Caenorhabditis elegans: one gene and its partners. The protein of the gene in region 2 purifies or fractionates together with the protein of the main gene of each other region. This does not show direct contact. Each region holds a gene or a part of one and is shown on either strand. Other genes may lie near its edges.

The links.
Region 1: the proteins of C33A12.3 (region 2) and F29B9.1 fractionate together in Caenorhabditis elegans (co-fractionation; one large-scale study listed by BioGRID). This does not show direct contact.
Region 3: the proteins of C33A12.3 (region 2) and arrd-28 fractionate together in Caenorhabditis elegans (co-fractionation; one large-scale study listed by BioGRID). This does not show direct contact.

Annotation. Positions count from the first base shown.
Region 1 is NC_003282.8:4,661,861-4,669,556, forward strand, and holds F29B9.1 (Protein-lysine N-methyltransferase CELE_F29B9.1), read left to right. Parts: upstream 1-3,518; 5' UTR 3,519-3,563; coding exon 3,564-3,625; intron 3,626-3,682; coding exon 3,683-3,863; intron 3,864-3,909; coding exon 3,910-4,038; intron 4,039-4,504; coding exon 4,505-4,695; intron 4,696-5,231; coding exon 5,232-5,379; 3' UTR 5,380-5,431; downstream 5,432-7,696. Other genes in the region: jmjd-1.2 (JmjC domain-containing protein), read left to right, coding at 1-348, 403-529, 888-1,208, 1,261-1,492, 1,811-2,183, 2,238-2,975, 3,026-3,081; F29B9.12 (uncharacterized protein), read left to right, coding at 7,683-7,696.
Region 2 is NC_003282.8:9,508,555-9,516,384, reverse strand, and holds C33A12.3 (UPF0462 protein C4orf33 homolog), read left to right. Parts: upstream 1-3,382; 5' UTR 3,383-3,391; coding exon 3,392-3,520; intron 3,521-3,610; coding exon 3,611-3,682; intron 3,683-3,739; coding exon 3,740-3,793; intron 3,794-3,859; coding exon 3,860-3,989; intron 3,990-4,073; coding exon 4,074-4,163; intron 4,164-4,209; coding exon 4,210-4,301; intron 4,302-4,545; exon of another isoform or gene 4,546-4,622; intron 4,623-4,918; exon of another isoform or gene 4,919-4,990; intron 4,991-5,132; coding exon 5,133-5,258; 3' UTR 5,259-5,637; downstream 5,638-7,830. Other genes in the region: C33A12.4 (TFIP11), read left to right, coding at 5,838-5,924, 6,002-6,100; ethe-1 (Metallo-beta-lactamase domain-containing protein), read left to right, coding at 7,687-7,725.
Region 3 is NC_003284.9:10,180,589-10,188,519, forward strand, and holds arrd-28 (Arrestin C-terminal-like domain-containing protein), read left to right. Parts: upstream 1-3,406; 5' UTR 3,407-3,434; coding exon 3,435-3,642; intron 3,643-3,686; coding exon 3,687-3,933; intron 3,934-3,978; coding exon 3,979-4,125; intron 4,126-4,171; coding exon 4,172-4,415; intron 4,416-4,470; coding exon 4,471-4,627; intron 4,628-4,671; coding exon 4,672-5,621; 3' UTR 5,622-5,666; downstream 5,667-7,931. Other genes in the region: myrf-2 (Myelin regulatory factor homolog 2, N-terminal), read right to left, coding at 1,223-1,526, 2,010-2,248, 2,298-2,416, 2,466-3,324, 5,784-6,059, 6,108-6,221, 6,270-6,644, 6,691-6,981 and 2 more.

The DNA.
Region 1 (7,696 bases), 4.8 Mb from region 2:
AAGAAGTTCAAGAAGAATTGAAGCTTGAGGTGGACTCGGACAGTGAAGAAGATGATGTCCCAGAGCAGAAAACTCCAAAGGAATCGGATCGATGTGGAGGATGCGGAAAATTTACTCATGAAGATGATCTAATTGCTCTTGAAGAGGAAAAGAAGAAGGAAAAGGAAAAGCCACTGATGAGCAAGAAGAAATCTCACCATCACAAGAAAAATGACTTCCAATGGATTGGCTGTGACTCTTGCCAAACCTGGTACCATTTTCTGTGCTCAGGCCTCGAGCAATTTGAGTATTACCTGTATGAGAAATTTTTCTGCCCCAAATGCGTTCCACATACCGGACATAGCATTCGTAAGTTTTTTCATCGAATAGCTTGCAATTAAATATATTTATTTATTATTTTAGGATACAAAGTCGTCGCCCCACATCGTTATCGCTGGTACAGTCCGAACGAGAAGCATCTCGGAATTGAAGTTGGCTCAAAAACTTGGATTGAGGATTTCATCACCAGAGAAAATACTGTTCCCTCACCGTAAGGGAATTTTCATTAAAAGATGACTTGGTTGTTATTTGTGAAGACTCGAAATACGCCAAAATGAACGAAGACTTCACAAAAATTTCAAGAAAAAGAGTTAATCTCAGCTGAAAACTCCCATTTTTGCCGTTTTCTCACATTTTTCGTTTATTTGGTACATTCTGAGCTGTCAGTTTACTAAAATTGGCCTTTTTTGATTACCTATTGGCTTCAAATGTACATAAATCAACGAAAAAACTTGAATTTATCACCTATAATAATGTTTTTCGTTCATTCCGGCACATTTTGAGTCTAAACAAGCAAAAAACCCAGACCTCCCTTAAAGATTATTTAAAATTAAATTTGTATTCTTTAGAACCGACGATGAGGTTTGCATTGTCGAAGATGGCTACGAATTCCGCAGAGAATTCGAAAAACTCGGAGGAGCTGACAACTGGGGAAAAGTTTTTATGGTCAAAGACATGGACGGCCTCAATATGACAATGCCGAAGCCTGGATTCGATTTGGAGGATGTTGTGAAAATTATGGGATCGGATTATGAAGTGGACACGATCGATGTCTATAATCAGAGCACCTATTCGATGAAGCTTGATACGTTCAGAAAACTTTTTCGCGACACTAAAAACAGACCACTCTTGTACAATTTTCTGTCCCTTGAATTCTCGGACAATAATGAGTGAGTTTATTAACTGAAAACAATTGAAAAATTAATTAATTAACATTTCCAGGATGAAAGAAATCGCTAAGCCGCCAAGATTTGTCCAGGAAATCTCAATGGTCAACCGCCTGTGGCCTGATGTCAGTGGAGCGGAGTACATTAAACTCCTCCAGAGAGAAGAATATCTTCCAGAAGATCAGCGACCAAAAGTGGAACAGTTTTGTCTCGCAGGAATGGCTGGATCTTATACGGATTTCCACGTGGACTTTGGTGGTAGTAGCGTCTACTATCACATTTTGAAGGTATAATTATTGAAGGAATATAAATGGTTCCGCGGATTGTGAACGTTCTGACCCCGCCAAAATGTTCTCAAATTAACGAATTTCGTTTGAAACTTCTGAAAAAATTCTCAATATTTTTTTGGTTTTTTTGGAGGTTCAAAATTAAAAAAAAAAGACTAAATTTGGCTAAAATCTCCTATTTTCCGAGATTTTAAAAGCATTTTTGAGAAGCCTCATCACGAAATTCGTTGATTTGAGCACATTTAGGATCGTAATGTTCGAAATACCCTTCTTTCAACTGAAATTGGTTTTCTCAAAGCTTATTAACTCTATTTTCAGGGCGAGAAAATCTTCTACATCGCCGCGCCAACGGAGCAGAACTTTGCAGCTTATCAAGCACACGAGACATCTCCGGACACCACTACATGGTTCGGTGACATTGCCAACGGAGCTGTTAAGCGAGTTGTGATCAAGGAAGGTCAGACACTGCTCATCCCGGCTGGTTGGATTCACGCGGTTCTCACTCCAGTCGATTCGCTCGTTTTTGGAGGAAACTTCTTGCATTTGGGAAATCTTGAGATGCAAATGCGCGTGTACCATCTCGAAAACGCGATTCGTAAGGAAATTAGAAGCGAGGAGAAGTTCTACTTTCCGAATTTCGAACTTCTTCATTGGATGTACATGCGAAACGTCTTGCTTGAGAAGATTACAGGTAAGCAATTTACTAGTTTGTATAGCGGTTTTACTAATATTCGCTACATTTCAGAAGCCAATCAGGAAGGTTCTGACATGCGTGAGCAGGAGAAGAATATTTGGACGGCGTCACAAATCATGAAGGCCGAAATGGAGCGCTGGATGGATCGAGAGTTGAGATTGGGTCCCGAGAAGAACGCGATCCTGCCCACTGACGACAAGAATAAGATTATGATCTCGGTGAGGAAGCAGATTGAGATTCAGACGAAGATTCAGAATGCCAAGAATAAGCCGATGGGGTTGAAGCAGAAACGTAAAAGTCGAGAATCCGCGGAGCGGGATGATGAGGACTATTGCCCGTCCAGCTCGACTGCCTACAAGAAGAAGTATACGAAAAAGGCTAAGAAGGACAATGATGATGCTCCGAAGGTGAAGAAGGCGAAGAAAGAGGAAGTTCCCGAGGAGAAGGTTCCGGTTCCTGAAGCAGCAGGTCCTTCCGAAGTTACAGCTCCATTGACCATCAAGATTGGAATGGGACCGACTGAAGATCAGAAGGGCGTTGTCCAGATATTCAATAATCAATGCACGTCGTCTGGAAGAAAAGTAAAGTTGAATCAGAACGTGGCCGACTATTGTGGATCCCATCTCGAAGCACGCGTCGAAGAGATTCCGGAAAAGGCGACGAAAAGCTTCCGCGAGCTTGACAACGAACTGGAGCGCTGTGAAGCTGTTCATTCCGGAGAGAAAATCAAGAAGGTTAAAGAGCCAAAGCCACCGAAGCAACCAAAAGAGAAAAAGGAGAAACCACCACGTAAGAAAAGATCGAAACCTTGAGAACTGTTTAATAATTTTTTTTTTCAGCAAAGAAAAAGGAAATGAGTTCCAGAGATCGCCTCATGAAGAAGCTCAAAATGTGAACGTCCTCTACCTCAAGATATGTGTGCACTTTGACGAAATATAAATCTCGTACAATTATAAAGTGCCCCCCGATCTTAATAGTAATTTCCCCGTATTTTTGACTAATTTTTACATTCGTTTTATTGTTTTATTCACACAATCCCATATTCTTTCACGCGGTTCTTTTGCATCCAAAAATTTGTACAAGACGATCTCCCGAATTTACTGACGGGGATTTTTTTGTAGTTTGAAAATACACACGCACAATAAAGCGTTGATTATGTTAATTTTTTTCCTTGATGTGAACATTGTTGAAAGTGAAATGCAAGAAAATATCTGCTTTTTAGACTTTAAACTTGGATTTCCTAGAAGAGATCTCTCTAGAGAGTGAACAGAGAATTAGAGAAACGAGGCAAATGCAAATGCAAAAAAAGCTCTATGGAACTACTTTTTTCAGATTTTGGAATTTATTATTTATTTTCGGGTTTTAAAATAGCTTGAAATGAGCGACATGAGCGAACAAAGTGTTGAAATTGCTTCTTCACAACTTGGAACCAAGGATTTGTAAGTAAAAATTCTAAAAATTTACATCTAGAGTTGGCTAAAACATTTTTATTTCAGCTGGGATCAACGATACGAGTTGGAACTTAAAAATTTCAAGCAACACGGAGATGAGGGAGAGGTGTGGTTCGGAACATCGTCTGAAACACGAATCGTAAAATATTTAATCGATTCGAAAACCGGCAAAGATGCAAAGATTCTTGATTTGGGATGTGGAAATGGATCGGTTTTGAGGAAATTGGTATGGATTTCGAGCTCAAAACCTCTGAAATTCAGTTTTTTTTCAGAGATCGAAAGGATTCCAGAGTCTGAAAGGTGTTGATTATTGTCAAAAAGCTGTTGATCTTTCTGCAGCCGCTTCGAAAGCTGAGCGAGAAGAGGAAGAAGACGAAGAATTAGTAGATATTGAATTTGAGGTGTAAATTTTTGAATTTTGCATCATTAAAAACGGAGAAGAGGTGTTTATTCATCTAAAACATAAATTTTTGCATAAATAACGAAAAAATAGCTAATTATTTTGAATTTCCGCGCAAATAAATTACCTAGTTCCGACATTTTCGCGTTTTCCGACTAATTTGATTGGTTTCTTTTGTAAAAACACCGTTTATCAATTTTCAGACATTTTCCCGGGAAGAAGGCCTGAAAAGCGCTAAGTTTACTTTAATTTATAATTTTTTTGCGGAAAACTTTCTAAAAATTGACAAGGGGTGTTTCAAAAGTTTAAGGAAAATATAAGAAAATCGAAGAAAACGCGAAATGTCGAAACTAGGTTATTAATTTGCTCGGGAATTTAAAATTAATTCACCAATTTGAATTTTTTCTGCAAACCGCCTTTAAATATTGTTTTTCTCGAAATTTCAAAGCAAAAACGTTTTCTTTCAGCAATTGGACATAACCACACCGCCAGCCGACTTTTTCTCCTCGAAATTCGATGTAATTCTCGATAAAGGCACATGGGACGCGATGAGCCTATCCGATGAACGAGAAGCTCGTCTGAAAGCCTACTTGGGTTTTCTTGATAATGGTCTGAGCGCTGGCGGTCGATTTGTGATATTCTCGTGTAATTTCACTTTGTAAGTAGGCCTAAAAAGGGCCTCGAAATGAAACTTCTAAATAGGTCACTCCAAAAAATTGAGCGGCATACGAGCACTTTGAAACTGAGAAAAGTTGATCTGAAACAGCTTCCAGACCATTTTTTTCCATTAAAAAGTTTATCAAAAATTTGCATTGTTTTTTGACCAAAAATTTTTTGACCAAAGTTTTCAGTTAAAAATTGTATTTTTTCAATTAGGGAGATTTAAAAAAGAAAATCAATTTAGATATTTCCAACAATTTTCCAAGGTTTCAGAAAAAATCGGAATTTTTTTTGACTGAACCAAATTTTTTGATTAAAAAAAGTCAGGATTTTTGAATTTTTTAAAAATCGTCTCAAATTGTTCATTAGATTCAAAAAAAATATTGAAAAAATGAGCTGAACCGAGTTCAGATCGATTTTTTCTAGTTCAAAGTTCTCGTATGCACCTAAATTTTTTGAAGTTACTCTTTCAAATGACATATGCAAGTTCAAATACTTCCATTGTAAGTCGAAATCAATTGTTTTCCTTTTCAGCGACGAGATGTGCTCGCAATTCGGTGGCGGCGGCGGCTCAACAAGTCTAGAGATCGTGTGTGAAGTACCAGCAAGTCACAGCTTCTCGTTTGGCGGAAAACAAGGTGTCACTTCAACGGGTGCCGTCTTCCGGAAGAAGACTCTATAAACACCTCTCCTCTGTGTTATTGTTGTTGTTCATTTCTTTTCCCCCTTCCCCCCCCCCCCCCACATTTCTCCCATCGTTTCTCAGTTTCTCAGTTGTTATATAAAAAAAAAGTAGGTTTCTCTTATCTCTCTCCCACTGTGTTCTCTCTTTAGCTAATCAGGTGCATCATCATCATCATTTTAACGCCAGTGTTGCTCGGCATGATGGATCTTGGAGAAAGTGGCAGCAGACCCTTCTCCTCCTAGACTACTTTTCGCGGAAAATGGGAGTTTGATAGGGCGGCGCCTTCTTAGACGCGGGGAGCTCCTTCGTCTCCAGGGACTCCTTTTGAAGGAAGGAGATGGGGTGCTTGTGACCCGAAGATGGGGGCTCACTTTCGGCTCCGAGCACAAGTAGCAGCAACAGCAGCAGCTGCAGAGATTCCACGTTGTGAAAGAGCTTCTCTTTTCGACCTTTCGTCGCCTCATTAATCATTCATTCAATCTTTTTTACATGTTCGTTTTCTACCTCTTGCTCCCCTCCCGTACGCACACTTTTCACACATTTCTTTAATCCATCTGAACATGCATATTTCTCTTGTTTTCTTTTTGTTTTCTGGGTGACTTCTTGGTGGTTTTTTATTAGTCTGTATAGGCAGAGTGCCAAAGACAATTGACGACGACACACACACAAGTATAGTCGTTTTTTGGTGAAAGAAGGAAGGACGAAAATGTTATGCAAAAAAGTTGACTTCCGGAAGTTTTTCTGCAACTTTTCTTTTCAAAAACGTTCTGAGATTCAACTATGTATGCGCCTTTAAGCTAGGGGTACTGTAGTTTAAAAAATTTGAGCTTTTCGAGATTGTTTTTGATGATTTTTATTTTTAATGCTACATAGTTTTCTATTAAAAAAATAATTTTCCAGGTGAATTTTGCAATTTTTGATACGACGACAGATTTTTGATAAAGGTGTGCGCCTTTAATGAGTACAGTAACCTCCACTCCTTTTTTTTGTAATTTTCTATAAATATTATTCTATTATTTTAAATTTGTTTTTCAAAAAATAAAGCTTTTAGACACTACTGTAGTTCTTAAAGGCGCACACCCTTTTTCATTAAAATTTTTTTGAATGGTCTCACCGCGAAAAAGTTTTCGAATCTTTCCTTTTCTTTTGAAAAATAATAATTAAAAACTGAAAATCTTCACAAAAATCAAGAAAAAGTAGAAAAATGAAGATATTCGTCTACGAAATCCCGAAAAAAGGATATATAACTTTTTTTCACGGTGAGACCCATTCGAGAAAATCCGAGCAACATTTAAACACGCATTTCAGAATATTGTGAGCATAATAATTTTAAAATCTTTTGTTTTATTCCCCATGTTTCGATTTTTGCGCAAAAAATACGGTACCGGTCTCGACAAGAAAATTATTATTAAACTCGAAAAGATGTGCGCCTTTAAAAAATTCTGTAAATTCAGATTTTTATTGTTGCGGAATTTTTACTGGGTACCAATTGGATCTTCACAGTTTTTTTTTCAATCAAAATACTTAAGCAAAGCAAGCAAATACACATCGTAAAAAAAAACTATGAAAAATTGACAAAAAATTCCGCAGCCAGCACAATTTGAAATTACAGTACCCCTTTAATTCGCGCATTTTTAAAGAATCACCAAAAATTGGTCGTATCGAGACCAGGTACCGTATTTTTGGAAAAAAAATCACAAACTCACGGCTGACTAATAAAAAATAGCTTTCGATGTAGAATCATCAGTGCATTAAATTACGAGAAAAACCTTTCTACAGTACTCTAGTTGATTTATTTTTAGGAAATCAGAAGAAAAAATAATGCAATTTAAAGTTGGAAAGTGCAAAAATTTCAGTGTCAAAACTAACCGAATCAAAAATGACCTTTTCGTGCCAAGACCAGAACTTTCCAAAATACCAATAATTGAATAAAACGTTTAGTTTCCTCGTGCCACCCCGGCGGGCGGGTGTCACTAATTGTCAGTGGCCTGGTGTGACATCAAAAAGTTTGATTTCATTGTGGCCGTCGTGGGGTCCTCCCATTTCTCTTCCTCTCTTTGCCAACACCACAAACGGCGTTTTTTTTCATTTTCTGCGACCGCTTCTTCCTTTTTTTTATCCCACCGAACGTTATTTTTTTTTGCATAACTTCTTCCAGTTTTTTTAGTAGTATGAAGACAAATTGTTGTGTCTTCTTGTCCCCCCATCCTTCCCGCCGAAAAACATAATAAAATAATTCAATTACCGTCTAGCCGCCGCTTCTTGTCTTATTTTGAAGAAAATGAGCCCAGTTTTACAGAATGAAGCCTCATTT
Region 2 (7,830 bases):
ACAATTCTTGCACACAGTTTTTAAAAAAAAATTTCTGATATTTATATTTTTCAGAAAGCAAATAATTTTTGCGAAACCCTCCTTTTTTGATAAACTGTCTTAAAAAGTGAAGTAACAGGATATATGTTTTCCGGGGTACATTTTGCTGAAGTTCAGTAACTTTTTTTTCATGGTTAAACAAAAAATGTTACAAAAATAATAAACTGTAATCTAACAAGTGTAAATGGACTAACTAAGTCTTATGACAAAATTCTAAAAATCTGTTTCGTTAGTAACTTGTGTTTTTCAGCGTTTGATTAATTTGTACTTTTATAATATTTTTTATAAACAACGGAAAATTAAATTCTGCTTTTTGCAATGTCCTCCTACATTTTTGCATTTTTTGGTTCTTGAATCAAAAGTCAGAAAGTGCCCCCGATGATAAAACCACCTTGAGTGCGATAGGTAAAAAAATTAACTCTTTCAAAAAAATTAAGCAGATCTATTTTATACTTTATACAAATTGAATAGTGTGAAATAATTTAGATCAACAAACACATATTTTGCAATTTCAGATTATTTATATTTTAATTGTCTGCAACTTGTGAAAACATCGATTGTAAACATTTGATCATATCAACTTTCTATTTTTGGATTCATACTTTATCAAAAAAATTTGTTCACGTTTGTCCATGACACCCATAAACAATATCATCTTTGAATGGTAAAAAGTTAAATATCAAAAGAGGATCTACTGAACCTTTTTTATCAATCTAATCTCACAGTGTATTAAGTATTTGTGAAACAGGGATTTTTTCTAAATGTCAAACACTGCCTTCAATGCTGGATTATTTCTGTATTAGATGTCAAAGAGCATTATTCCTTCCTCGTCTATTGTCATTGAAATTAAGACTTTTAGAAGAGTTATATTTTCAAAGAGAAATTCTAAAGCAGAGATTTCAGATGAAATCTTCATACCAATTCGCTTCAAAAAAGAAATAAAATAGTTGAAGGATTCCAACCAACAATTGAAATGATTACTGTTTCAGCAAAGAAATCCACAAATGTCGAAGCATAATACTTTTTAGAAAATGCCGGAGCCAACTTTCAACTGATTTTTTTATTTGTGTCAAGTAACAAATTCCGTGTTTAAAAATATTTGAAGTTTTTACATATACTTTATATTGAAAACTGTAATTGAATAAATATCGAGAACCTAATTGGATAAATATCGAGAAGAAATGAATTGTTTTAAAATTCATCTTCAAGATTCCACGTTTTAGTTTCGAATAATTTGGACGTCCTGGAAATTGAGAGTCAACAGAGCGAAATTTTTCAAATGTGATATTTTTCTAGCAGTTTCAACAATGATTTTTAAAACGAATTTTAAAATTTTCAAAACTGATTCAAGAGGAAACAATTTCAACTGGAATGTTCTGTTGAAATATACTCACATCATGATAAACCATTTCAATGTTTAATAAGATTTTCGAAAATATTCAGGCAAAGCTATGATATATTGTAAGTTTAAATTTGTAGGTAAAAGTAAGTTGTAAGTTTAAGTTTGTAGGAAAATATTCAAAATTCTTCTAAAAACTATTAATATTCTAGGACTTCTGAGCAAGATAACTGTATTTTTACGAATTTCTTCCATAACTGTATGTGTACTAGAAATATAAACTTTTGAATAGTTTTGGATACTTTTAGTGTGGGCTGTTCCAATTGCAACACCTAAAAATATATGTATTAATTTTTTTAAAAAGTTACATGATTAGATCTCTTCTTTGACAGTTTATATTTCGGTTAATTTTAAAGATATAAAAAACATTTCAAATTATAGAAGAAAGTATTCAAAAAAAGACGGTCGAAATTTTTTCTGAGCTGCCACAAATTAGCACTCCGGCTGCAACACACATAGAGGAAATACGGTAACTAAAAATAAGAAAAACAGTCAAAAGGTAAACATATATTTGGAGCTTTTCCTCAAATTTCAATTAATCTTTGTACTTATTTTCGTCAAATGATATCACTATTTCCACATATTACATCATTATTGTACGCATATGACATTTTTGTTTTCCTTTGCTTATCTGAACCTCTCTCACGAGACAGAATTGCTAAAAGTTTCGAAACATTTTGCTTTTTAATAAATATATTTCTTTATTTTATGGTTAGTCTAAGTTCACAATTGTTATATTAAGACTACATGGGTACCGTATCATTTTGATATACATTGTAGATTTACTATGTTTTTTTTAAGTTTCAGAAAAGTATTTAATTATTTGTTGAAACATTTTTGGAGTTGCTTTTCAGAAAGAAACAGGTGACAGTTTCAAATGTATCTTCTGTGTAATAAAACACATGTGTTGGTTCAGATGTTTGTTTAATTTTGCAAACGGTCATGCGTAGCGCAACGACTTTATTTTTATTTCATTCGTTTCTTTTTCGCACAGTCAGAGTGCATTTGAGGTGCAAACACTTGCATCACAATTTCTATTGATTCGTTATTTTTTAAACAATTTAATTTGATGAGAGACGAGAAGCATCCATTTTTCGGCAACTAATGATCGCTTGGCCAACTTCCAACATCCTCATTCCACGATTTCAAAACTGTCTCTGCTTCTTCGAATTCTATTGTATTTTTGTTAGCGTGAAAGGAAACAATGCGCGATAAGCAAACTGGGAGCGGAGTGGAATACGGAGAGAGAGAGAAAACGAGGTGGTCAGCTGATTTGTTTGCTTCACTTTATTCCCACATTTTCACTTTTCAACAGTTTCTCGTGACTGACCACATAAAGTTTAAGCAATCGATGCCATTCGTTTTTAAAATTTTGGATAACACATATACTTGATAAAAGAAGTTACGAAAACCAGTAGGAAATTCGTTTAATTTCTATCAAAATTCTACAGTACCGGTACAGTTGGAAGACAAGAGAGTGCGTGCACAGAAGAGACGCAGAAATATGTCGGCAGCTAGTGTGCAATGTGTGCAAACACCACCACGTAAAAGTACACAGATTGAGTGCCAAAATTGTTTCAAGAGGCCTATTTTTGGATATTTAAAAGAGTTTTCGACGCATATTTCATTATTTATTTTTAAATTTCAAAGTTTAGTCATTTTTATATATCCCTTATTGATTTTCTCTCCTTTTAACTCGTTGGAGTTTATTTTACAAGAGGATATGTAGTGTTTTGAATGATAATATATTAATTACGAGCGTATCTCTTTAAAAAGTTATTCTTCAAAATACCACAATGTTCGTTATTCAAGCTTTCAACATTCTAAACTTTCGTGTATTTTTTGTGTATCTTTCTCCTTATAAGCTACGCCTTTCCTCGTCTCCACCACATTCTCTCGTCTCATATGATGTCGGTTGACATGTGTATTCGTCTTCTTTTGCAGCTTTCAGTCATGTGGAATATGGTACAAACCGACCATGACGATCTCGAGAAAGCCGAGGCAATGAACTCGATGGCAGGACTCAAGTACACCATTGATCATACTTGGGATGGACTTCCACTTGCACATGAGCCTATCAAAGTGAGTTTTCGAATTTTTATACATTTAGATTCGAGAAAATTACGGTTTATTGCAAACTTTTTGTAAATGCGTATATTTGAATTTTTGCAGATTGACTTGAAGTGGCACTTTGAGCGACTCGTCGGGCGCCCACATAAGCGAGTTGTCAAGATTTCATTCGACGTAATAATTTTGAATATTTATATATTTATAAAAACTTCAACAAAATTTCGTATTCAGGCACCATTCTTCGACGATCCAGAACCACTCGATCCACCAGGAATAACACCACAGGTTAGTCAGTTTTTACTGTGATAAAGTATATAATTCAATAGTTTCTCCAAATTAAATTCTTTTCAGCTTTGGGATTTCGAAGTTATTGAATTCTTCTTCGCAAATGATCGTGGACAGTATCTAGAAGTTGAGATTGGTCCACATGGACATTGGCTCTGCCTTCTTTTTGACGGAGTTCGTCATACTATCAACAACGGTGAGTATTTTAACTTTTTAAGTATTTTGAAAATATCAGTTTTTCGAAAGTTACATGTTTCCCTTCAATCTTTAATCATTTCAGGCGAAGAACTCGAACTCGAAGTACGCAACAAATGGGTTGGAAATCGTTGGGTAGGAGAAGTCGAGATTCCTCTTGCATACTTCCCATCCAGTAATTTTTAAGTTTAATTGTAAAATTATGCAAATCTTATTTCCAGAAGTTACAAAATTTAACGCTTATCACATCCATGGAATGGATTCGGAACGCGTTTACGCCGCATTGAGCCCTGTGACCGATGGAACTTATTCGGTGAGCTTTAATACAATAAATTATTGAAAAAAAATGATTTCAACCTGTTTGTAATATAAAAATTTGCAACTTTTGGCTCCCAATATAGAGCCCATCACTCATAATCTTTTCTTCTCACATTTGTCTTCACTATCGGCACTCATTTTGCTCCGCCCATCGTAAACATAAAACATAGTTGACTGCGAAACCCGTGATTCGTCCGTACACGCAACTATATACTCACCCTATTGACGAGTCTCAACTCGTTAAACCATAACTAACTCAGGGCCTTGTTAAAGACCCGAAGTACAATTTTTGAAGCCCTGTCTCTCGAGGCAGGGGAAAAATTTATGTTGATAATGTTTTTGTTTAGGTGAACTGAGATTTAAAACTAATATTTTTAAAAAGTAGATGTTGAATATTAATCCTTTCTGGGACTATTTAAACACGATTTGCATAATATTAAATTTCTTGTTCGTTTCATGTTTTCCTTCGGCATGCCTTTTTCGTTGTGTCTCCGTCTCCACAATCTGAACGGACGCCCCGCCCACCTCTCACATAGAATGGAGGGTGGCGGAACCCGGCAGATGTCGGTTCAAACGGGAGGGTACCCTCTTTACGCCACAGGGAATAGTCGATTTCTTATAATACTTCAGGGCCTTACTAAAGACCCAGTGTACAATTTTTGCAGCCCTGTCTTCTGAGGCAGGGGAAAATGATTTAATTAATTAAGAATTTGGTGAATTGGATATATTAAATATAATCTCACATCCTATTCCAAAGAGAATCACATTGATTGGGTGAATACATAATATTTAGCATTTTTTTAAACATTAAAAATAAAATTTTCAGGAACCAGACTTCCACCGCCTGGAATTCTTCCAAAAAATCAACATGCGCCGAGTGATTCCAGAAGGTTATGGAGATCGTCCTTTCGCTGATTTCAAGTACGGAGATCTTTGGGCTGGGCACTATTGACACTGGCTTTAAATTTAGAAATTTCCAATATATCAGTGAGATTTGTTTTCTTTCCGGTTTTGAGCTGTTCAACCAATTCCATTTTGGCTTTTATGTGTCAATTGTCATCCGACAACAAAAATTATAACTTTTTGAAAATTTTTATTCACCTTCTATTAGAAACCGGGTTTATTGTTCTTCTCAAAATTGCTTACAAATTTTCTTGTTTTCCTTCCTATTTCATTTGAGAATTTCGCTATGCCCCATTAGGTTGTGTTGTTCTTCCGATTGCCCATTTTCAAATTCTTTCACTCCTCATTTTTTGTGTTTTAAATGTTTAAACTATTTATTTTCAGTATTCTCTTGTTTTATATTTCTGACTCATAAACTTTTCCTTTCGAAAATAGACACAACCACATGACATGTCGCATGATCTAGAGCTCCCGTTGTCCCTGGAAACCTGTTGTTTAGCTCGGGTCTCCATGGAAATTGAGCACAAAAGGGGGCGTGGCAATGGTTAGCTAGCGAGCCTCTTACAGCATAAAAAGAGCTCATTCTCGTTTTCATAAGCAGCATCTGAAGCCAACAACTTGGACAACAATGAGTGATCAAGAAGACAAAGAAGTTCCTGATGTAGAGGTTGACTACAGCAAGTACGATGAGGATAGTGTTCCAATTCCGGAAAAGGTAATAGTTTAAATTTATCTGAAATTATAATGAAAACTACCGTCAAACTCTGTGAAATCTATATAAAATTATTTCAGGATATCGAGGAATCTCATCCAGGCCGCCCGGATTTGGACTATGATGAGACTCCAGTTGGACCAGCTCCAACTGAATGCACCGAGGAGAAAAACGACTGAATATGCCACGTGGCAAATACAAATACTCCCAATACAATGAGGATTGAGGATGGATGCGTTTCAATGTGAATTAAAATTTTTCTCTTAATTTTTTAATGTTTCTTGTAAAATTGTCAAAATAATCATGGATTGAATGGAATTTGATGTAGAATTTTGAAAGCAATGAATGGTATCGGTGAAAATTCAACATTTTGTCTTTTAATTTTATGAAAAAAAATTGGTCTGAAATATGGAATTTTGAAAATTTAGAGAGAGCGAAACAAGGCATTTGTGCTAGAAAATTATTTAAAATAATCTGTTCATATTTAGGGCTTTTGAAAATTCAAAACTATCGTATTCGCGCAGATTTTTTGGCATGTCAGTTAGAGGCGCATGTGGACATTCTGATTGGGTCTCGCCACGATTTTACAGATTTGCACATTTGGTTCAGAAAATGGATTTATGAAAAGTTCAAGTACACAGAGAAAGCTAGGGTTTATCATAAAAAAGTGTCAAGTTCCCGCAGACGGACGATGAAAGTTCGAGCAAAAAATTTGATTTTCTCTACGACTCTTCTGTTCAAATACTCTCCCATTTTGTTTTCCAAGTGTTTGCTTCATAATTAGGCTCTCAGTTTTCCGACCACAAAATATGAAACTATCGAATAACACAATTTCTACATCTCTAGAGGTTTTGTTGCCAAGGGATACCAGTGCGCATTGAAGCCATCAATTATATTACAAAGTTGCACCCATTTGGTACCTGAAACAGCTGAAATGTAAATTTTAAGTTCAAGAAAATGACTGAAGCCGTTATGCATATATCATATACAAATACAAATGTCTAGCTTTCAAAAAACAGCAAAGAATCGTTTGAAAATTAATAATTCAATTTTATAACCTAACAGAAGAGAAACACTTCTAGAATACACAGAGCGACAATAATCCAGAATAACTCAAAAAACTATTTTTATCAGGTACAAAAATCAGACAATAAGCTACATGTTAGCAGTTGTTGTGACTCAAAAAACTCGTCAAACCTAAGGTTTTCTGTTACTTGGGTAGTTTCTTCTTGTGTGGAGCTCTCAACGTTGTGCAGCATATACGCTTTGATTAAACAAAATTGCTCCAAAGAGTTTTGTATTCTAATTTTGCTTTAACATTTTTATTTAAACTTTGTAGAGGCAGCATACTTGAATTTTTCAAAAAGTCCAAAAATTTCATTTGTGAAAACGTTTGACTGGGAATAATTGGAATTAAAAGAAAAATATATTTGGTTATTAAAAACTCATTTTGAGTTTAAAAAAAATAAAATCCCACTTCACTTTAATCGTGTTCAAGCTCCACGTATACCTGACTTTTCCTGAATTCGAAGCTCTCCATTTTGCTCAAAACGTTATCGGAAACCTATGAGCCTTACACCGAAAATGTTTTCTTCCCGCCCAAACGTGATTCTAGCCGTTTTTTTCTGTCACTAAAGAGATACGAGACGCAGAGGGAGAAAGGTGTAAAAGAAGGAAAGACAGGCAATAACGAGGTAAACATACACAATAACCTCTGCAGTTTTTATTGATCTGGTTCTAATTATTGGAATCATCGAAAACAACTATGAAAGCTCCATTCTTCAATGCACCAATTTTTAGACAGGTTTGTGGATTTTTTAACAGTTTTTTGTCTTGTTTTTGAAAAAAAACACAAAGTTTCAGTTCAGTTTTAGAAATTTAATTTTTCATGATATTAATCATGTGTTCT
Region 3 (7,931 bases), on a different chromosome or scaffold from region 2:
TTTTTATGGTTTAAAAACAATTTCACATTATGGGTTGTATTTGTATTTATTGAATAAATTGATATATCGTTTTTAGTTATATATTTTTATAAAATGAATAGTAAAATGAAACGTGCTTATCAATCCCGTAAAACTATAATAATTACCTTTTTTTCAAACCAGGCTCCAGTTATCAACAGGTGGTTTGCGATTGGTGAACTGTGGGGAAAAAGCCTTTTGCAAATAAGTCCACCGTAGACTTATACATATATCACTAATGGAAACATGCTAAAAATGTTCCTGCTAAAAAATGAGACGCTCCGCTTTACCATCTTTTTAAAATTATGTATTATGGCTGAAAATAAATAAAATAATAAACTGTGGTATACAAAAACGATTTATTGAGTCGACACAGTTATTATTGTTGCAGTTCATCAAAATAAAATACAAACATCAGGGCGTGTGTGATGAGATACGATTTTTCAAAACAAAAAAGTCCAAACTGTTTTCCGTTGTGGGCGTGTAGGGATGAGGAGGTTTGTTGGCGCATATGCAATACTCACATACAACAAGTTTGATGAGTATTTATAAATAACAGTAATGACATCAAATGGAAAACTAAGAGGACAACGGATAAAAATTATTGACTTTTTCTTAAACTTATTTTCAACGTACGCGTACAACAACTACATGAACAAAGCGAGATGCTACAAGTTTGGAGGAAGAGAGTGAATGAGAAGAATGCGATAAATACACAAGCACGACGCAAAATAAAACACTGGGCCGAGGATGGCAATGGCCATTGAGTACGGTAAGTACAAAATAACATGATAACATAGTATCCAAAAATTTCAGAAGGAGAGACTTTAAAGAAAATGTTTGGAAAATGACAAGAGAAAGAGAGAGAGAGAGTGGGAGGGAGAGAGAGTTGGGCATTTTTTACATGCAACAATGTAAAGATCAGTGAGAAAATGCGTCACGTAAAATGAGAGGAGTAAAAAGTGTTTAGTTTTGGATGATGGCTATCAGTGATGAGTACATTAAGAAAAAAGGAATATGACAAACCGGTGTATCGGTATCCATGGATTTCCAATTTTCAGATTTAATTAGGGCGGATACTCTGCTACGAAGGGTTATTGCTACGTATCATACAACCGGAATGTTTTATGATATATATGGAAGTACACTGTATTTGAATGGTGGGAGAGAAAAATTGGTATCTATTGTGTGATTATCTCTGATGTTAGACGACATTAATAGCAGTTGAGTTTGTTCTATTGCACGCGCGGTAAAAGATAAGATTGTATTCCTCGTAGAATCCTCCAAAATGAGTATCGTCGATCGAGCAGAGTTCGGTAGAGTAACCCACACGGAAGCGATAAGCTGATTGAGTCCATTGACCTGCACTGACTTGGAACGTGTTATCAAACAGTTGGATCGATCTTGGAGCATCCGTTTCTGTGGACGAGCTTCCTGTTTCGTCGCATTTTCTGTTGTCAAATTCCTGGATGTAGCCACAGTTGTTGACCACCTTGGAAGATGGGACACTGAAAAGCGAAAATTCAATGATATGATAGTTGATGTTTTATGTGGGGTGCTCAAATTGAGTTGTGTTAAATACGTTTTCAAATGCGTACACAAAAAATTAATAAATAAAAATGTTTGATAATTGTGGATTATGACACGCTTTCAAAATATTCTTCCTAAATTAAAACAAGAAGATTTGTTTCAAATTCTTGTTCTTAGAAATTTTAGTTTCTAAGCCTATAGAGAAAAAAATTACACCACGCTCAATTGAAATAGATACATAAATTTGATTCAATTTTTTGAATGTGGTGTCCTAACACACAATTATCAGTTTATTAAAAACTTTAAAGTAAGAATTTTGAGCATTTGAAAAGAAATTAACAGCAGGAGAGTTCCGGAAAAAAATTAATTGTTAAAACTGAGTAAAATCAAGCCGAAGAAAGTAGTAATGGCTAACTCGTATTTTTATTTGATTTTTTTCTGCGCAAAAAGTGTAAACTCACTCAATCTGAACCTCCAGTGGAACATTTGGCAGGTATCGAGTCATTGGAATAAAGAGACTGTACACCTTCCTCTTCTTGACACAGCTTTTTTCGATGCAGTAACGCTCATCAATTTGCATTCCTAATTCAGGTAGTGAAATTTTCACGTTGTTACCAAACCCTTTAAGTGTGAAATCGGAACGAGTATCTGCTTTGAACCCAAAGTCGTTGTCAGTTGCGGTATTTGGATCATATTCAGTCTACAAATGCAATTTTCAAAGTTTCACCTTTCCGGAAACGGACACTTACAATTTCCAGCTCAGCGTGGTCTTTGTCATATTCCATGCAGCAATATCCACGACACGTTTCCATTGGACAAAAAGGAACTAGTGGCGGTGCATCCGGTTGTCTCAGGGGTACATAGTGATCTGAAATTTAAACATTGAAGTATACTTCACGTGTAATATACAGCCTTACCCAATGGAATAACGACGTTTCCTGGACCTTCCTTTGGTCCCGATGTGGTAGCAGATGGTGTGAAATGATGATATCCGAAGTTACGATTGTGCCAGTCAAGAATGTAAAGCGCAGACATAGCAAGAAGACAGAATGCCATTACTCCAACTAATCCGATAACGGTTCCATGAGTCATTTTAGATTTTGGTGCATCTTTTTTGTCTTTTCTGGATGAACGGCGGTTCTTTTTGGTGTTTGTAAGAGTTAAAGCAGAAGCGGATGAATCAAGTGATGTTCTAGAAGCATTCAGAGATCTTCCTTCAGAATTTAGTCCAGATGCCATTGAGTTGAGCATTTTCTTTTTCTGTGCATACTGAGTGAGTCGCTGACTAATCTCAGCAACTTTGTCATCAATTTTCTGATCAAGATCTCCAGTCAGACGGCACAGTTCCTGAGTTGCCAAAACTGTCTCATAGAAGACACGAGACTCGTTGACAGTGAGGTAATCTCCCAGATCTTTCACTGCGTCTGGAAGCACCGCCGCCAGCTCTTGAGCAATAACTCCCGTTCGTTTCCTCTGATCTTCGGTTAATCCCCATTTACTTGCAACCTCCGGTTTGTAGAAGTAATCAACAATACGCAGCTTTTGCAAATTTTCCAGAGCATCCTTGGCTCCCTTTTCAGTGATGTTGTCCTTAAGACGAATATCAGATGGATACATAACACGGCCGCTTGAGTAAATATCTCCATCGACGGTTAGTTGTGCTCTTGGCTCTGATTTTCCAATGACAACAGGTCCATTTGTGCTCAAGATTCCTCCATTCTTGTTCCAACTCGCGTCTACCATTTCTGGAGGTTCAAATGATCCGGGATTGGTTGCCTGCAAGTATGATTTATTAATGTGTTGCTAGCAACGAAATACGCGTGAGCTCTCAAATAGCTCTTCATTCCTCTCTCTTTTAGTTGTCCGCGTTTATTTTTTTTCCACTCATGGATCTTGCTTATGTTACTTCAATAGATTGTCCAGCGGTATTTGATAGTTCAGTTGATAATTTTTTTACCGCTGATGTGACTATCAATAATTCAAGCGAGCTTGTTCATTCTGCACAAATAATTTTTCGCGGCTATGTTTGTAAAGGCGACGCTCTTCATTATGAATTTCTTCATGAGCAACAATGGGTTCTCGTAGAGCCAGGAGGTAAGATTAATTTTAAATAAACTCAGACAAAGTCAAAATATCAGTTGAATCACCCTTACGAGCAGCAATCGATGTTTGGCTGCCAAGATTTCCTCCCTCTATGAAATTCCCAGATGGAAGTGAAATTATCTACTGTGTACGTGCTTCTGTCGCTCCGTGGCACGAAAACAACTATGTGGAGAAAATATTCGAAGTTCGAAGATCATTAATTTTAAAAATGCCGCACGAAGCGTGTTATCCGGTGGAGCACATGGTTAATAAGTGTGTCGAGCATGGAAGTATTCTTCACAAGTGAAAAATCGCATTTAATTTTAAAACGCGTTTCAAATTTTTCAGGAAATGCGATCCGATCAATGGCCGAATTTTTCTCGAAAAGACGGCTTTTTGTCATAATGAAGAAATTATAGTTGGATGGGAATTAAACACTGAGAAATCCGTGATTGAGCATTTTACGTGTAAGTTGGCCCAATTGGTGGAAGTCCGGTAGGTTGCTAGACAAAGCGCCAAAGTTCACAATCTTTTGTTTTAGCGAGAGTCATCCTAGCAACTATTTGGCCACCAGACGTTTTGTGAAATTTTTGAAAGAGCAGAAGTCGACCGCAAACACATCTATCTCACTTGTGGTCCCACCAGAGAGTCTAATATCGATTTCCATGTCCCTATGGAATGTTCTCGTTGTAAAACATGAAATTGTTTTGGAAATTAAAATGCAGAAAAGAAAGAAACCAGTTATATTCAAGTACCCTATCATTATATGTAATGAGGAAGTTGCTGTGAGTTGATAACTTCATATTTTTTAGAATCAATAATACAAATTCATTATTTCAGAAACACAAACGTCCACGAGAAGCGGTTCCTGTTTTCAAAAGGGTACAAGATGTAGATGACGACTCAGATGACGACGATGATTACGACTCGGAGGATGAAGAGGAAGAAACATCAAATAGAGATTATTCTGTTGACATAGAGAAGCTTTCAGTCACAAGTATGTGTTTCATTTATACGAATATAACATTTGTTGTTCTTTAGACGTCACCCAATCAGAAAAAAAGCCACTGGAACGCGCAGATGTAGAAGTAACATTCATTATGAACAGTGTTGAACCAAAGGAGTTAAGGTCTCTTCGACTTATTCTTACCGGTGAAGTGAGAGTGGGAGGTCTTTGGTATGAATTTCTAAGATTCAAGGCTATAGCAAACTTATCACATGAAACCCTATTGTCACCAGGAGAGCATAACTTTCGGTTTCAACTCCCATTTGCGGATTCCCAGTATGACACCTCAATTCTTCCGCCAACATTAGGAGATGAAATCAAGTACATGATTCACGCGAGTACAGTGAGCTTACCAAAAAATTTTTTCCAACAACAGTGTGAGCTTCTCGTTGACCGTTTTATTGACACGTGGGCTAAGGAAGCGTACAAGCCACCCTACACAGAAGAGTATGGAGCAACCAAAATTCATCTATCTCAGCGATGCTTCAAGCGTGGAAAGCATGTAATAGTTGCTTTGCAGGGCAGCGAGCCCCGTTACGTCAAGGGCACACTGGTGCAGAAGAAAAGACTACGCGTGCCTAATGTGAAACTTGATGAAAGCTATTGCAGTCAACGAAACGTACGAATTTTCGAAGAAAATATTCATAGGAAAGATCATATCCATGTTATGCACATCCCGTTCAATATTCCACCAAGCATTGAAATCTGTTACTGGAACGTCCTCCAAATCGAATATCACTATGAAGTCGAAATAACATTAGAAGGTGGCCACACTCATAATCATTCAATTCCTATTTGGATAGGATGCACAGAAGATAATCTCTCAGTGCCAGCTCAACAAGAGGAGGTAATACCCAAACATTCACTGATCGTGGATGAGCCATTTGAAGAGCTTCCCGAGTTTGAAGTAGTGCTTGAAGATGATATACATGAGCACCCCTATTGGGTCGAGCGGATTAACACAGACACATATTATCAGAATTGAATGTTTCTTATCCGAAATATTAATGTATCATAAATCGTTCACTTATTTTCGCAAATGCTAAGCTGTATTCATTTGCCTGTACGACACAGCACCACATATGATTAGGACAATTGTTTTTTGCATAACATTATTTCTCACAACCGATTCAACAAAAATACTTACCCGAACAATAACACGCTCCGAGGCGAATGCCTGCATCAATACAGTTGTTCCATCAGTGGCAGTTGCGTATAGACGGACAACAAGATTGAAGTACTTCTGGTCCGGGTTTGGACGCAAGTTCTTTCTCTGATTGTTCAGTGTAGTTTCCGAGAAGTGAAGTCTTGGAACTGTCACAATGGTCATTCGGCGTTCGACAATTTTGAAAAGAACTGGTGTATGCAATATAGGTTTGCGCTCAGTCGTAGACTGGCGGATGGGGATTTCTGAGTTTTGAGACTGCAAAATTTAAATATATCATTTTGATAACTTTGAAATTTCACTCACCTCCGACTTCGCGCCCACGAATGAAAGTTGGAAATTCTCAATTGGTTTGCATACTCCGTTAATTTTGAAGCACTGTGGTGGTGATGGATCAATCGCCTCAATTTTGACAGTGACCTAAAAAATGAAACATTAGAATTTTTGCTGAAAAAAAAAGAAATTTACCTGGAAGTGGTTTTTCTTTTGATTAACAAAGCAGTTATCATTTGTGGAATAATTGAATCCTTTGTCTGCCAGAACGTGCACTTGGAGACGACCCAACTCTTCTCCATTTGCATCATACATTGGGCACCATTGTTCCTCTTGATACTTAAAGAAACGGATGTTTGGCTGTCCGCCTTCTTCTGTGACTTCCGCCCCGAGTTTTCCAGAAACTGGAGCATGCATGATGAAGCTGGGATCCATATTCTGGTCCATACGGGGGCGTTTGCGATTTGGGATGTCATCGGAGCCATTAATACTTTCATCACTAGAAACGTTCAATGCATTGTACAAATTGCTCTGTGCGAATCCTTGACCGTTACTGTCTGGGGAAATTGACTGAAAACAACGTTTTTGAAAAATAAACTTTTGTTTAACCTTATACCTGAACATAACTTCCTGGCGTTGGATGGTTACTGTTGAGAAATTGTGGGAATGAAGGTGGATTTGGTGATGTGTTCGGTCCCATTCTGGGATTGAATTGACGATTGATGTGTTGTGGCACATTTGAGATATCGTTTGGAATCACTCCGTGGTTTGGACGTTGTGTTCCTAGTCCGAAATTGTTAAGACCTTCTGGTGAGTATGGTGGATCAGAGTTGGTGGTTGACGGGGAGGACGATGATCCATGACGAGTCAAATCTGTGATGGCTGGTGTCATCGGCATTGATGCAAGCTGAAATTCAATATTCATAAAAATGTTTTCAAGCACTTCAGATATTAATCAAATTTTTTTAATTTAGCATTAAATACACGAAAAAGAGTTCATTGACTTGTTACTTACTTGTTGCTCATAGATTTGTTGTTGATGAAGTTGTTGAAGCATGTGCTGAGGCATCAGCATAGGTTGGTTTGCCATTTGCTGGCGTTGTAAAATAGGATCAATTCGAATATTTTGATCCATATTTCCTTGTTCAAATGCTTCTATTGGAAGATTGAAGCTAAAAACCGCTATGTCAAATTACGAAACATTTCGAAATTACAAAACTCACTCTACGTCGTTTTGAAGAAATTGGATGATGTTGAATTGTTCGACGTTCGCTAAGGGATCATTCAGGCCCTCCTCTGAAACAGGAGTTGAGCATGAATTCATTTCGAATAGAAGTTAAAATTTTTGTTCGGTAGTTTTTTTTAGTTTGTTTTGTTATGCACGCGTTGGCAAATTGAAGGGAACAGTCGCGGTTTGACCTGGCAAAAAGAAGGGTACACCGAGCAATTATTGATTTTTTGGTCAAATACACATCGCAACACATGCGAGAGAACTGTGAGCCATTTGGCTCACTCACATGACTTTTTTTATCTCTCATCTTCTCAAAGGCACACACGTTCTACTCTCTGCACACAAACGCGAGAAATTTGTTGCCGCTGCTGACGCCAGCAATTTTGAAATGAATACCACACATACCTTTGGGAGGGCGAGTTGCAACGGGTCTTCGGACCATTTAATTAGCGACCATACAAGTAGGTATGATAATCAATTTAAGAAATACGGGGCTGAGTGATGTTTATGATTTTTTGACAGAAGATAGACCGAAGCGCAGTCGCTCTTTGGCTCGTACCAGTCTCCGCGATGGCGAATGTGTGTGTGGTAGAAGGTCTCTACTGTGCCGTCGCTCTCTTCTGCCC